Linked DNA regions of Stegostoma tigrinum. The protein of the gene in region 2 purifies or fractionates together with the protein of the main gene of each other region. This does not show direct contact. Links are inferred from orthologs where the notes say so. Each region holds a gene or a part of one and is shown on either strand. Other genes may lie near its edges.

The links. The genes of interacting proteins can lie anywhere in the genome.
Region 1: the proteins of egfra (region 2) and lonp1 purify together in Homo sapiens (affinity purification with mass spectrometry; 3 studies listed by BioGRID and IntAct, with this or other methods). This does not show direct contact. The link is inferred for Stegostoma tigrinum from reciprocal best matches to the Homo sapiens genes EGFR and LONP1.

What each region holds. Positions count from the first base shown.
Region 1 is NC_081383.1:27,675,727-27,682,694, forward strand, and holds the start of lonp1 (lon protease homolog, mitochondrial), read right to left. Parts: upstream 3,023-6,968; 5' UTR 2,993-3,022; coding exon 2,489-2,992; intron 402-2,488; coding exon 313-401; intron 1-312. UniProt on the Homo sapiens protein: ATP-dependent serine protease that mediates the selective degradation of misfolded, unassembled or oxidatively damaged polypeptides as well as certain short-lived regulatory proteins in the mitochondrial matrix.
Region 2 is NC_081355.1:101,249,991-101,257,814, reverse strand, and holds the start of egfra (epidermal growth factor receptor), read right to left. Parts: upstream 3,015-7,824; 5' UTR 2,919-3,014; coding exon 2,840-2,918; intron 1-2,839. UniProt on the Homo sapiens protein: Receptor tyrosine kinase binding ligands of the EGF family and activating several signaling cascades to convert extracellular cues into appropriate cellular responses.

The DNA of each region.
Region 1 (6,968 bases), on a different chromosome or scaffold from region 2:
TATTGTCCTCTATTGTTGGACATGATTTATTTTCTCTTAGGCCTTTCTAGGAATCTTGGAATCATAAGCACAGAGATAGGCCATGATTATACCAACTCTATGGAAGAGCTAATTTAGTCCAGTCCTCTATTCTTTTCCCAATATCGCTACAAGTTTCATTGTTTGTACATTCTGACTATTCTTTAAGCATAACTTACATTATACACTGATGCTTCGCTGATACACATTCTACAACCCTGTGATGTGCCATGTTGCATCTATGCAGAATGTTAGATGTTAGTACAAACCACTAAAATCTTAAATATTGCTTACCTGTCATCTTTTTTAAGAAATACTCCGGCATATGGTTGAGCCAAACGCACTTTTCTTCGAAGGAGTTCCATTAACTTTTTGTTCTTTACCTATACAAAGGGAAAAATATTCACATTTGTGCAGTCACCATTCTTGCATTAAACTTTTAGTATCTGAGATGTGAAATTTAACACCAAAGCAGAATACCAACATGCTTTTCTCATTCAGTCTTAAAAGATTATTCACCACTGTTTATGGAGGATGTACTTGTGTGCATGCACACATGGAATACATGTTGTGGGATGGATATCTGAGTGCTCAGCACTTTCAAGTAATTCCAATTAGCAGATCTTCACATCACCCAAGTTAGAAAGCTATTCCCCCACAGTACGCATCATAATCTGTCCTCGCCACATTCAGAAAGTGAGTAAGATCACACTTAACTGTGGAATGGTGAAAGCAATTAATTCAGCAGAGATGAAACCCAGTACCTATCTAGTTTGCATAACTGAGTACTACAAAAAGTTAGGCATTTATCTGCAGAACTACTGTGAATGTTATACAAGGTATTCTAAGCCATCAAAAACAGAAATTGCTGTGAAGCTTCTCAGAAAGAGTCACAGGACCTGAAATGTTAACTGTAATTTCTCTTCACAGGTGCTGACAGACCTGCTGCATTTTTCCAGCAATTTTTGTTTTTGTTTCTGATTTATGGCAGCCACAGTTCTTTCAGTTTTTATTTAGTATTCTAAGCTATGGTATACTTAAGAGATTCACTATTAAGTTCTAATCAATTTTAATTTTTTTTCCCTCAATTTTATTGTCTTGCTTTTAAATGGAAAACACAATTAACTCCTCATGCTTGGTTGGTATTCTATTTTTGAAGAGGGAATAGAGGAAGAGCCATGGAGGATTGTTGATTTTAGATGAGAAAGAAATGTTTTTAGAACAAGATATTTTATCTGATCTTAAAATCCATTTATTCACAAGGTTGACCATAACTCACTTGTAGTCTCAAGTTCCAGTAAAAGGGTATTAATCAGCAAACAGGACTTTTCCATTGTTTATGCAACCAGACTGGCTGTCCTCTTCTAGCTATCTGACAAACAGCACCAAATACAAAAAGTACTGGATGAGTCATCTATCCAAAGTGGAAAGTCAGCGGCCCTCAAGGATTTTACTGCTGCTTTTGAATTGTGGATTACCACAGACCATTTTTAACCATGTAGTGTAGTTTTCTACCAAAATATATTTGCATCTGTAACGAGTGATATATCAAATCATTTCTGATCAACTCCCAATTACTCCAATATGCAATATCACAATGCTTATAATCAAGTCTATTTTGTGTCTCATGAGACTTTTCTTAGTCTGTAAAGCATAGAGAATTTCAAATAAGAAAAGTGCCAGAGAAACACTAAGTCTAGTAGCGTCTGTGGAGAGATACAAAGTTGCGAGTCTGATGTTATTCTTCTTCAGAACTGAACAAAGTTGGAAGATTATGGTTTTACGTTGCTAACAAAGTGGAGGGGTGGAGCAGATGGGGGTGAACAAAGTAAACGATAAAGGTACTTTTGAAGTAGTACAGGAGGCATATCGATGAAAATAGGTCCAAATGGCAGGTATGAGCAGTCAAAAATGGATTAGCTTTGCTGAGCACAAACCCAAACAAACGACCCTGGGAGTGAGTGAAATCAAAAACGGAGGACAGAAATTACTCAGCGCCACGTTGATTCCTGAAGGCTGTAACGCGCCAAAGAAGGTGATTCCCCCCCCCCCCCCCCCACCTTGCTGGAGTACTGCACCAGGCCTGAAATAGAATTGTAACCAAGACAGCAACAGGTCAGAAGACAGAGGGGAGTGTTGCGCATAGCAGTCTCCCGGCCTGCGTTTGGGCTTACCAATTTGGAGGCAAGTGTAAGGTAACTTTGCTACAGTAAGTGGTTAAACGCGTCTTTAACGTATGATATTGAAATTCGTACTCTAAAATAATCAAATTAAAAGTTGTCCTTAAGTCTCAAATTTGCAAATGAAAACTACCTTGGGTAATATAAAATAGTTTGGAACGTAATAACTATACATTTTCCCGTTTAAATCCACTCATCCAAATATTTTGCATTTAAAGTTCCCATTCGCGCAACGTTTCCCATCCATCAACGACTGTCACATTCTCAAAAACGTTCTCCAGAATTCCTACCTCAATTATTTTAATAAATCTGGGGAACACGGGGTTCCTAGTGACGGCGATCAAGGGGACATTGGGAAAAACATCCGGCACGATCATAGGGGAGAGCGCAGTCATGGAAGGGGGCATACCCGCAGCCCCTTCCCCACCTCCACCATCCCCGGTCCCGTCTTCCACGCCGTCATCCCCCGAATTAACCGAACCACCACTGCTCTTTTCACTGAAGTCCTGGAAGCTGCAGGTTTGCTGCAATCGGGGATTAGATTGCGAAAGGAGCCCGGATTTCTTGCCATTGCAGCATGCTGATCCTGCTACCCTGGTTACCGTTCTGCACCGGCCGCAGCTCCGCAATCCCTCAAAAGCTACCGAACGGTACCGCTTTATTGAGAAAACAACACTGGTCTCACTGTTACGCCCGGCTGGAGCAAAGTTCGTCACCACATCGAATAGTCGATACCCTGGTGTGCCTCTATTCAACCAGCGAGATATGGAGGCAAGTCGTATGTAGGCTGCCATCTTGATTACTAATCCTAAACTCCCACAATGCCTCTCGGCGATCTCTCTGCTGAACTTCGGAGAGAATCCGTGCCACGCCTTGATTGGCTAAAATAGTTACGGCTACGGAGAAAACATTTTGAGTCCCTTCCTCTGACTTCCCACCTTTTCCACCTGTATAAAATCTTCCAGAAAACTATCCATTCTTTTCTGAAAGTCAGCTTGAACCTATACCCACCGCAATTCCAAGTAGTTGTACTCGTCAGACAAGGAAAGTTGATAATTTGGGATACCATTCAGCTTTTGCGTTTGGAACAATTGGACACTGGTTGCCCCAGTAGCATCAAACCAATTACATGCAACAAAAGTGTCCATTTTATAAAGGGGCATAAACAAAAAAAAAACAAAAAGAAGAAAACCACTTAAGACTGCAACAAGGATTATTTTTCTGATGTGGAGGTGTCAGTGGTTGGACCAGGGTGGACAAATTCAGAAGTCCCACAACACCAAGTTATAGTCCAACAGGTTTATTTGAAATCACTAGCTCTTGAAGTGCTTTGTTCTTTGTTAGGCGAACATGTATCCATATGAATTATACAGTTCTACATTTTTACATGGTAACAAAAAAAGTCATTCCAGCTTCACTAAACAAAATCTTTTTGAGCAGCATAAGTAATAAAACCTAAACCACATAAATAAAATAAATGTTAACTAATAATAATAATTCTACACATACTCAGTATGCATTCCAGTTTCTTCACTGTTATCCAGTCATAAAGATCTCAGGCACTCACTGGGGCACAATTCTTGTGTCATCTGATGCCCTATGATACCTTTTCCTTTATGTAACTCAACACAGTAAATGTCAATGAGTTTTCAATTAGCAGAAGGATTGTAGCCAATTCTGATGTTGCCATTACATGATTTCCACAAGTGCTACATAGCCATCAGGAATAACAAAAACAATATGCATGTATATAAAATATTTGCTAAAGTCAAACATTCCTAGAACATCAAATGGAGTATGATCAGACAAAAAATTAAATCAAAGCAAGAAATACCAGGAGGATTGACTGTGACTAGTCAGTGATGAATACTAAGGAGCATCTTAAAAGAGGCAAGGGAAGTGGAGAGGAATACCCAGAGATTCGGGGTTATAATACAGAAAGAAAATTCTCATACATTTGTAGGGGGAATAGAAAAGCTAGTGAGGTAAGAAAGGATAAATCTTTGAGGGAGGTTGACTGCAAAAATGCAAATTTAAAATTTGAGGCAATGGAGAAACATTAAACAAAGTTAGCAACAATGGGGTTATTGGTAAGCAGATCTTGGTGAAATGAAATATGGTAGCAAAATTGAGAATAATCTGAGTTTATGTCTAATGGAGGAAAGCAGCTGCCTGGTAAAACATTGGAATAATCAAATTTGGAGATGACAGAAAGATCCATGAGATTCTTGGGTATAGACGTGCTGTTGCAGAATGTTTGCTATGGACAATATGTGGAACTATAAACACACCTAAGAGTCAAATATGTTGCTTCCATTGTGAACAATGGAATTCAATTTGTGATAATGCTTTGGGATGGTTGTTGGAATCAATGGTAAGCGAATGGAGCTATGACAGTTTGTGACCAACTGATCTATATCCTGCTGTATCCTCTGACAATCCTCCTCACTATCCACTACTCCACCAATCATTGTATCATCTGCAAACTAACTAATTAAATCAGCTATATTTTCCATCAAATCAGTTATGTAGACCACAAACAGCTAAGGTCCCAGCACTGGAACACAGGTGCGGCGCAGTGGCTTAGTGGTTAGTATTGCTGTCTCACTGTACCAGGGACTTGGGTTCAATTCCACCCTCAGGACCATCTGTGTGGGGTTTGAACATTCGCCCTGTGTCTGTGTAGGTTTCTTAAGGGTGCTCCAGTTTCCTCCCACAGTCCAAAGATGTGCAGCTCAGGTGGATTGGCCATGCTAAATTGTCCATAGTGTAAATTAGGTGGATTAGACATGGGAAATGCATGGTTACAGGGAAAGGGAAGTGGGATGAGTCTGGGTGAGATGCTTTTCAGACGAGTGGTGCGGATTTCTTGAACCAAATGGTCTGTTTCCACACTGTAGGGATTCTATGATCCCTGGTCATCCAAGGTTCACATAACTTGCCATACATATCCTTTATTCTTGCAGGAATGTGCCACTCCTGAACTCTTATCAACTGCCATTTGATGTGGATTTACCCTCAAACAGCTGACTCCAATCAAAATGCTCCAATTCGTGCCTAATATTGTTGTAGTTCACCTTCCCAATTTAACACCTTCACCCGAGGATTGCTGTTATCCCTTTCTATGACTATCTCAAAACCCATGGCATTACAGTTATTCCTCCTGACATTCTGCCCCACTGAAACTTCACTCATCTGACCAGGCTCATTCCCAACACCAGGTCCACTATAACCCCTATCCTGGTTGGACTGTTTATATACTGTGTTAAAAAAACCCTCCTGAATGGTCTTTACAAATTCTGTCCCATCCAAGTTCCTGGCACAAAGCGAGTCCTAGTCAACATGGGGAAGTTAAACATCACCCATCATAACAAACCTGCTGTTTTTACATCTTTCCCAAATCTGTCTGTGTATCATCTCCTCTATCTTCTGTTGGATGTTGGGAGTCCTGTGGTGTACCCTCAGCATTGTGATTTCACCTGTCCAATTCCTGAGTTCTACCTGTATTGCCTCACTGCATGAGTCCTCTGATAGATCCTCCCTTGGTACAGCTGTGAGATATTCCCTTACCAGTAACGCAACTCCTCCACCCCTTTTTATATCCCTTTCTATTACACATGAGAGGTCTAAATCCGGGAACATTCAGCTGCCAACCCCTCTGGGTTGCTTACCTACGAATACATATACTTGTTCTAAAGGAAGTGCAACAAAGGTTCAAAAGTCTGATTCCTGGGATGAAAGTATTATTCTATAACTAAAGATTAATAGACTAATTTATACTCCTTTGAACTGAGAAGAATAAAAGGTGATTTCCGTGAAATGTAAAAATTCTTCAGAGGATTGACAAGGCAGATGCTGAAAATTTTCCTTGACCAATAGACAATAGGTGCTGGAGTAGGCCATTCGGCCCTTCGAGCCAGAACCACCATTCATTATGATCATGGCTGATCATCCACAATCAGTATCCTGTTCCTGCCTTATCCCCATAACCCTTGATTCCACTATCTTTAAGAGCTCTGTCTGTCTCTTTCTTGAAAGCATCCAGAGAGTTGGCCTCCACTGCCTTCTGGGGCAGAGCATTCCATATATCCACCACTCTCTGGGTGAAGAACTTTTACCTCAACTCTGTTCTAAATGGCTTACCCCTTATTTTTAAGCTGTGTCCTCTGGTCCTGGACTCACCCATCAGCAAAAACATGCTTCCTACCTCCACAGTGTCCAATCCCTTATTAACCTTATACGTCTCAATCAGATCCCCTCTCATCCTTCTAAACTCGAGAGTATACAAGCCCAGTCGCTCCAATCTTTCAACATATGATAGTCCCGCCATTCCGGGAATTGACCTTGTGAACCTACGCTGCACTCCCTCAATAGCAAGAATGTCTTTCCTCAAATTGGGAGACCAAAACTGCACACAATACTCCAGGTGCGGTCTTACCAGGGCCCTGTACAGCTGCAGAAGGACCTCTTTGCTCCTATACTCAATTCCTCTTGTTATGAAGGCCAGCATGCTATTAGCTTTCTTCACAACCTGCTGTATCTGCATGCTTGCTTTCATTGACTGATGTACAAGAACACCTAGATCTCGTTGTGCTTCCCCTTTACCGAACTTGACTCCATTGAGATAGTAATCTGCCTTCCTGTTTTTGCCACCAAAGTGTATAACCACACATTTATCCACATTAAACTGCATCTGCCATGCATCCGTCCACTCACCTAGCCTGTCCAAGTCACCCTGTATTCTAATAACATCCTCCTCACATTTCACAC
Region 2 (7,824 bases):
TTATGCTGAAAGGAGGATTTTTAAAATCTGCTTAGTTTGTTTGCACTTAATCTGTGAGGATCTTCTAAAGAGACAGAGTTAATCATATACTGCCACACATGACCTTGCCAATGTCTAAACTCATCACCCTTCTGGCGGTGTCACAGCAATTAGCATTTCTTTTAAAAAATCAACAGTGTTCTGTTCTTTCTAGGGGGAAATGCAATTGAAGGGAAATTCAATAGGTGTACATTAGTTCATTTCATGGGGATACATTTATTGAGGAGAGAAAAGTTAATACAGTATTGTGTTAAACTTTGTCTGGCTTTGGGTTGAAATACATTATATTATGGCTGCAGTGCACAGAAAATGCCAATCAAACATTAATGCTAATTAATAACATCACTGGTGCTAAACTAGTGGTACACTGATCATTTTTCCGTGAGATACATTCAATCACATCAAGCCGACAGGATGAAAGACCTTTATTGGAAGTAAGGCTCCTAATCTCAACTAATTTGGCCAACTTTACAATTTATTGAGGCAGTACAAAATTGGCATAATTCAACATTTACGGCACAAACTCACAATTTAATTCAGAGAGGCACAGATACAATTTGTCAAAACGGTAAAGTAGGAAATGCTCTTGTAGGCTCAACAATAATATAGATTGTGTCAGAATTTTTACCCAATATCCTATACAGTATAAATATCGCTGTCTGAAAGGATCCTAATAGCAATGACAGTGATGACAGTGGCAAACAGAACATAAACAGTAGGCCATTCAGCTCAAGTCTGTTCTGTTGTTCAAGCAGATAATTGTTGACCTGCACCATAATATCTACATTCTGCTACACTGAGTATTCTTGCCCATCAAAAATCTAGTAATTTCAGTTCTAACATTTTCAAATGACCTAACCTCAAAAAACCTTTTTGCTGAGCAGGGAAAATAGCTTCAGATTGTTATTATCTTGTGTGTGAAAAAAATATTTCCTTACATTATTCCTGAACAGCCTAGATAGCCCCTAGGTTTAATGTCCCCATGTTATTTTGCCTCCCTCACAAGAGAAAAGAATCCTCTTTCTGTTTTATCAAATCGTTTAGACATTGTTAACATTTCAAATAGATTACTGTTTAATATTCTATCATCGGATGAATACACGATTAATCTATACAAGCTGCCCTCATAATTTAACCTTGGTTTTACAAGGCAGAAGGAAATGGATGGGGATGTATATAAAAGTAATTTGTATTTGCTTGAGTTATTTTTCACACACTAAATGAACCAGCAAATTTTTAATGGATTTTAACACTAAATGCTCAAGTAAAATTATGAACAATTGCAAACAATCACAATATCAAGTTCATTTCCATTGCAACCTAGCTTCTGCCTTTACAACTTTGTCTTAATGCAATGAGCAATTCACAAATGAGTGGTTCACTGTTATGGGCCAACTCACAAAGTCACCACCTTATCCTTATATTTCCTTGGAAATGGCACTCCCTTAAATGCAGAACAAAAGATTGCTGTACTATCAGATCATTAAGGAACTTTTATAATAAAACAAAACAGAAATTGCTGGAAAAAAACCCCTCAGTAGAACCAGCAGAATCTGTGGAGATACAAAACTGACATTTCACCAACTTCAACAGTGACTGGCTGCCCTGCCAAGCATTTCTAGTATCTTCTGTATTTATTTTGTATTTTTAGCACCAATGCTATTTTAATTTAGTAGAAAGAGTTCGTTCCTTTAACTATTTAAATTAGACAATTTAAACTTTTAAACCAACTAGTTGACAAATATCCTGAAGATGCCACTCAGCAGTCAGCTACATTATCAGGACTTAAAACAAAACTCAGTAGAACACAATAAATTATTTGTTCCTGAAGCAGTCTGCTCACAACTTCCTTGTGTATAACTTCCATAGTCAACTACAAGTGCAAGAAATATTCATCATGTTGATGAGACATCAATGGACATTTGGGTTACATTTAGCAGAACACAGCATCACAGAGCTGCTACGGCAGATGTTACATGTCTAATTCCACAGGGCATTCAACACTTCAGCTAACTTTTTTAAAATGTACAGATTGCTTCACTGAGTGCAACTTCGCCCCCTTTGTAGAACGCTACAAGCTTGTGAAATGTGAATCAAGTTCATGCTATTGTGCATAGTTACAAATAAAGACAAAACAATTGACACATTTTGCTACAGCTAACAAAAAAAGGATCATTGCATTTTCGTACGTTGGCATCGCACACCCTTTACTTGCAATAATCCATGGTTGAACCTTGAGATCCTGAACCAATCGGACCTTTTTATTTGAGCTGTGCTTTAAGTGATAGTGCACGCAATTATGCAATCATAAATGTGTATAAACTGACATAAAAAGGCGAAGAAGGAAATGCCTGCGATCAGTAATGGGTAAGAATCTGTGCTTGTTTAGGGAAACTCAAACTTTATGACCCTCTCTTGGCAAAACAAACATCCCGTAACTCAACTCGTTGCTTACAGAGTTTCTTACAGGTTAAAGTCCCTGAGCAAAAGGAACGAAGCACGAGAGAGGCACTCAGTACCAACTGATCAGATTGCCCGAACACTCTAACACACTCGCCCCAGCTCTCCGGATGGATGAGAAAAGGAGATGACAGCAAAGTGACTTTAAGTCCCCGGAACACTTCAGTTCCCAGCAGCAAACATTCCCGCACTCGGCAATCTCGCTCCTCCCCACCTACTGCCCTTGCCTCCGGACCCTTTGCTCTGATAAGTTCACTCCAGGAGGTGTTTAGGAAGCGGAGGGGCAGGGGCAGCAAGACTCCGCTTTCAAGGTTTCTCTCTCTGTCCCTGTGGTTCTTACCTTCCCTGGACAGGGACTCGCTGCCCAAACTTAAAAGGATTAGGAGGTGGACGCAGCCCGGCAGCAGGGAACAGAACATGGTTCAGCGGCTTCCCTCTGGGCGATCTCCCGTGTTGAGCACACAACAGGGTAGGCAGCAGTTAGCGCTGAGTTTAGCTAGCCCAGCCCCTCTGTCTGTGTGTCTGCCCCTCCCTCCCTCTCTCTGCCTGTGTCAGCCTGAAGCTAGCACTCAGCCTGACGTCAATTCACTGGGAGGAGAGAGAGAATCCAGGTGAGACTGACACTCACAGGGTCCTACACTTCCCCTGGGCACACAGAGCACCCTCCCTGGCCACATCGAGCACCCTCCTCTGGTATTGCTTCCCACTCACATCTCCTCCCAGCGGTTGCTCATCACTGGATGGCTCTGTGAACCAGAAGTAGCAGCCAGTCCTCAGACTTTCCCTGTTAACCCTTCAGGGCAGGGCGAGACCTCTGAGAAGCAGCGAGCAGGGTAAATACAAGTCATGCTTGAAGGTGATGGAATGGTCCGAACGCGACCGTCATTGCTGAAAGTGGAACTGGAGTTCAGCAGTTTCACTTTTTGGATAGTTTTTTTTCTCGCTTCGCAGCCACACAGATCTCACTTGTCTCATTTTTCTTAAAATTAAGGACAAGGAGAAACGCTTTTGGCAATGTGTACGTGAATACACCTGCGAAAAAAAAAATTCAAGGCATCTTGCAAATATAAGTTCTTTGCAGAGACTATTATCCTTCCAAATGGTATCAATGACACTAACTTATAGGTGGGAAGGTAGAATTTAAACATATTTAAGGTATCCTCCATGAGTATGTTAAAAAGACTTTTCAGCACCATTAATGACCTCTATTATTCAGAGAAGGGTGTGTGGAGGAAGGAAACATACTCTAGTGCCATTGGCACCAGCAGGTCCTAAAGTTCATAAATAATGTAAGCAATTTTAGTGTAAGGCTTCCCTTAAGAGGTAAAAAGAAACTCGAGAGAGGAGCAACGCATACAGACTGAAGTCTACACTGTGAAATGTTAAATACTCATTACACCTTTTCAGCTTTCAAACATTATATGTTTAAATGAATGATTTACAGAAATGATTGTGTATATTTCGAAAGTGAACTATTACGAAGTAGCATTGGAATCCCTGCAATGTGTATGAGGATACAAGATGCCCTTTCTTAAACTGCTGGACAAACAAACAAATTATTCAGGAATAACAAAATTCCAGCCCTCAGCACAGTCAGTAGGAGGCTACACCTATTCTTATATCTAACAGCATCAAATAATCGTTTCAGCTTGTTGTGAAGAGGCAATATCTGACTTAATATTAAAACACTGTAGAAATGCTGCTTCTTTTCTTTCTGCTTAAGTCCAATTGTGATCATTCCTGAAAAGGAACAACACTATACCAGTCACAGCTGCATTGAACACTTTTCAAAATTGCTCTTCTATCAGGTTCACATAAATTCTTATTTGCTCTGTGTTTGCACTTGAACTTATGTTACATTGAGAATCTACAACATTTTAAATTGCACTTTACAGACTATTGCTTTTAGATATAAACTTTCAAGTGTCTGAAAAGATTACATTTCCAGGATATAGTTTAAGCAAAATAGTACACAGTGTACAGTAGAAATGCCAGACTTCGCTTTTCAAAGAAACTAGTCCAGGAGATTTTATGTAATTTTTTTCAATATAGGAGGCAATGGTTCATGGCTGCTATGGCAGCAAATAATTGCAAACATTTTGCAAAATCAGTGCAAAAAAAAGGCTGAAGCTTTCGCAGCAATACTTAGCCAGAAGTGCCCAGTGGATGATCCATCTCGGCCTCCTTCAGTGATCCCTAGCATCACAGACACCAGTTGTCAGTAAATTCGATAGACTCCATGTGATTTCAAGAGGTGGCTAGGACACTGGATAGTACAAGGGGTAAGGGCCTTGACAACATTCCGGCAACAGTACAGAAGACTTCTGCTCCAGAACTTGCCACTCTCCTAGCCAAGCTGTTCCAGTACAGAGACAACACTGGCACCTACCCAACATTGTGGAAAATTGCCCAAGCATGTCCTGTACACAAAAAGCAGGACAAATCCAATCTGACCAATTACTGCTCCATCAGTCTACTCTCAATCATCAATAAAGTGATGGAAGGTGTCATCAACAGTGCTATCAGTACCTGCTAAGTGATGCCTGGCTGGGTTCCATCAGAACCACACAGCTCCTGACCTCATTGCAGCCTTGGTTCAAACATGGACAAAAGCGTTGAATTCCAGAGGTAAGGTGAGAATGGCAGCCGTTGACATCAAGATTACATTTGACTGAGCCGTAGCAAAACTGGAACAAATTATTATCGGGGGCAAACTCTCTGGTGGTTAAAGTCAGACCTGACAGATAGGATGATGCTTGTAGCTGTTGGAGTTCAGTCATCTCAGCTCCATGTGGTCTCTGTGAGAGCTCGTCAGTGTAGTGTCCTAGGCCCAACCCTCTTCTGCTGCTTCATCAACAACCGTTCCTCCACCATAAGGTCAGAAGTGGGGTTGTTCTCTGATGATTGCACAATGTTCAGCACCATTTGAAACTGCTCATGTCAAGTGGTTAGTAATGTTTATGTCACAGAAATGCCAGGCTATGACCATCACCAACAAGTGACAATTTAACCACTGCCCCTTGACATTCAATGGCATTACCATCACTGAATCCCCACTATCAACATACTGGGGGTTATCATTGACCAGAAACTCAATTGGACTCACCACATAAATACAATGGCTACAAGAGCAGGTCAGAGGCTAAGAATACTGCAGCATATCTTCTGACATCCCAAAGTCTGTCTACCATTGGCAAGGCACAAGTCAGGAGTGTGATGGAATACTCTCCACTTGCCTGGATGAGTGCAGCTCCAACAACACTCAAGAAGCTTCACAACATCCAAGACAAAGCGACCCACCTGATTGGCACTTCATGCACCCACTTCATTCACCACCAACCCTTATTTGCAGCAATGTGTACAATCTATAAGATGCACTGCAGAAATTCACCAAAGATCCTCAGACAGCACCATGCAAAATCACTGATAATGGGAACTGCAGATGCTGGAGAATCCAAGATAACAAAGTGTGAAGCTGGATGAACACAGCAGGCCAAGCAGCATCTCAGGAGCACAAAAGCTGATGTTTCGGGCCTAGACCCTTTCTCTGATGAAGGGTCTAGGCCCGAACCATCAGCTTTTGTGCTCCTGAGATGCTGCTTGGCCTGCTGTGTTCATCCAGCTTCACACTTTGTTATCCTACAATCCAAAATTACAACCACTTCCATCTGGAAGGACAAGGGCATAAGATATTCGGGAACGCCACCACCTTCAAGTTCCCCTCCGAGCAATATATTGCTGTTCCTTCACTGTCATTGGGTCAAAATCCTGGAATTTCCTCCCTAATGGCATTGTGGGTCGGGCCACAGTAGGTGGATGGCAGCGTTTCAAGAAGGCAGCTCACTATCACCTGCTCAAGGGCATCTAGGGACGGGCAACACCCACATCCTATTAATCAATAAATTAAAAAAAGGTAATGACATTGAAGGATATATTAAATAGTTTAGTATCATTGCAAGAAGGCTTTAGTATAAATTCAATTGTTAATACATGAAGCTATGAAAATAATACTCATTTATGCCTTTACTATCATGATGGAAAGCTGACATGATAGTGTGCTCAGATTATCCAGGTCTCTAAAGTAAATCAATCTAGACTGCAGAAGACTTTTGCTAAGGCATACATAATCTGAATATACAAAGAGGAAAATAGACAGCAAAACAGCTCAGAGATTAGTAATATTAAACTTTATTAAGTCCTCCAAAAGTGAACCAACATATAACAACAGCTTATATTTGTATATTGCTCCAAGGCCCTTCACCATGCCACCTTAAAAGAAAATGTCATATCACGTCTCATGAAGAGATATAGATGTCCAAGAGCATGGTCAGGGAAGAAGGCTTTAAGGAGTATCATAAAGGAGGAAGGAAAATTCTACAGACAGCAGGGTTTAAAGAGAGAATTACAGAATTTGGTACCACAGACAGCAAAGGCACAGGGAAGTAACTAAAATTTTCAAGATGCTGGAATTAGAGGAACACATGTATCTTGAAAGGTTGTAATGCTGGAGATAAATTAACTTTTAGGTCAAAGTGTGCCTTAGCTGGATTTAGTGTAGCTCAGTGTGGACAGAAGTGATGAGTGAATGAGATCTGACATGGGCTAGGACACAGGAAGTGGAGTTTGTATGACCGAAAGTTTATAGAGTGTAGAATCTGTGAGGTTGGACAGGAGGGGCTTAAAATAGTGAAGATGGTATGGATGTGGGTTTTAGCAGCCAATAAGGTGGAAATCAATTGTCTCAGCATTGACACTTATTGCATATGATCATACAGTGATCTTAATGTGACACTGATGTTGCAAGCAGTTACCACAAAAGGAATGGAGTCAGTGATGAGGAAGACAATGGCTTCAGACTTCCTGGTATTTATCTTGGGGTAATTTCTGTTCATCCAGGCCCAGATGTCATATCACAGTCTGATAATTTACAGACATATTCAAGCCACACAAATACCAGGCTGTGACCGTCACCAATAAGAGACAATTTAGCCACTGCCTCTTGACATTCAATGGTGTTACCATCACTGAATTATCCACTATCAACATTCTGGGGTTTATCATTAACCAGAAACTCCATTGGATTCACCACATAAACACAATGGCTACAAGGAGATAGTAAGAACTGCAGATGCTGGAGTCAGAGGTAACAAAGTGTGGATCTGGACGAACACAGCAGGCCAGGCAGCATCAGAGGAGCAGGAAAGTTAACATTTTGTGTCAGGACCCTTCATCAGAAAACAAAAGGTAAAGGTAAAGTTATGTAATCAGGAAGGCTAATGGAATGGTATGCGGTATTACAAGAGGAATTGAACTTAAATGATTATG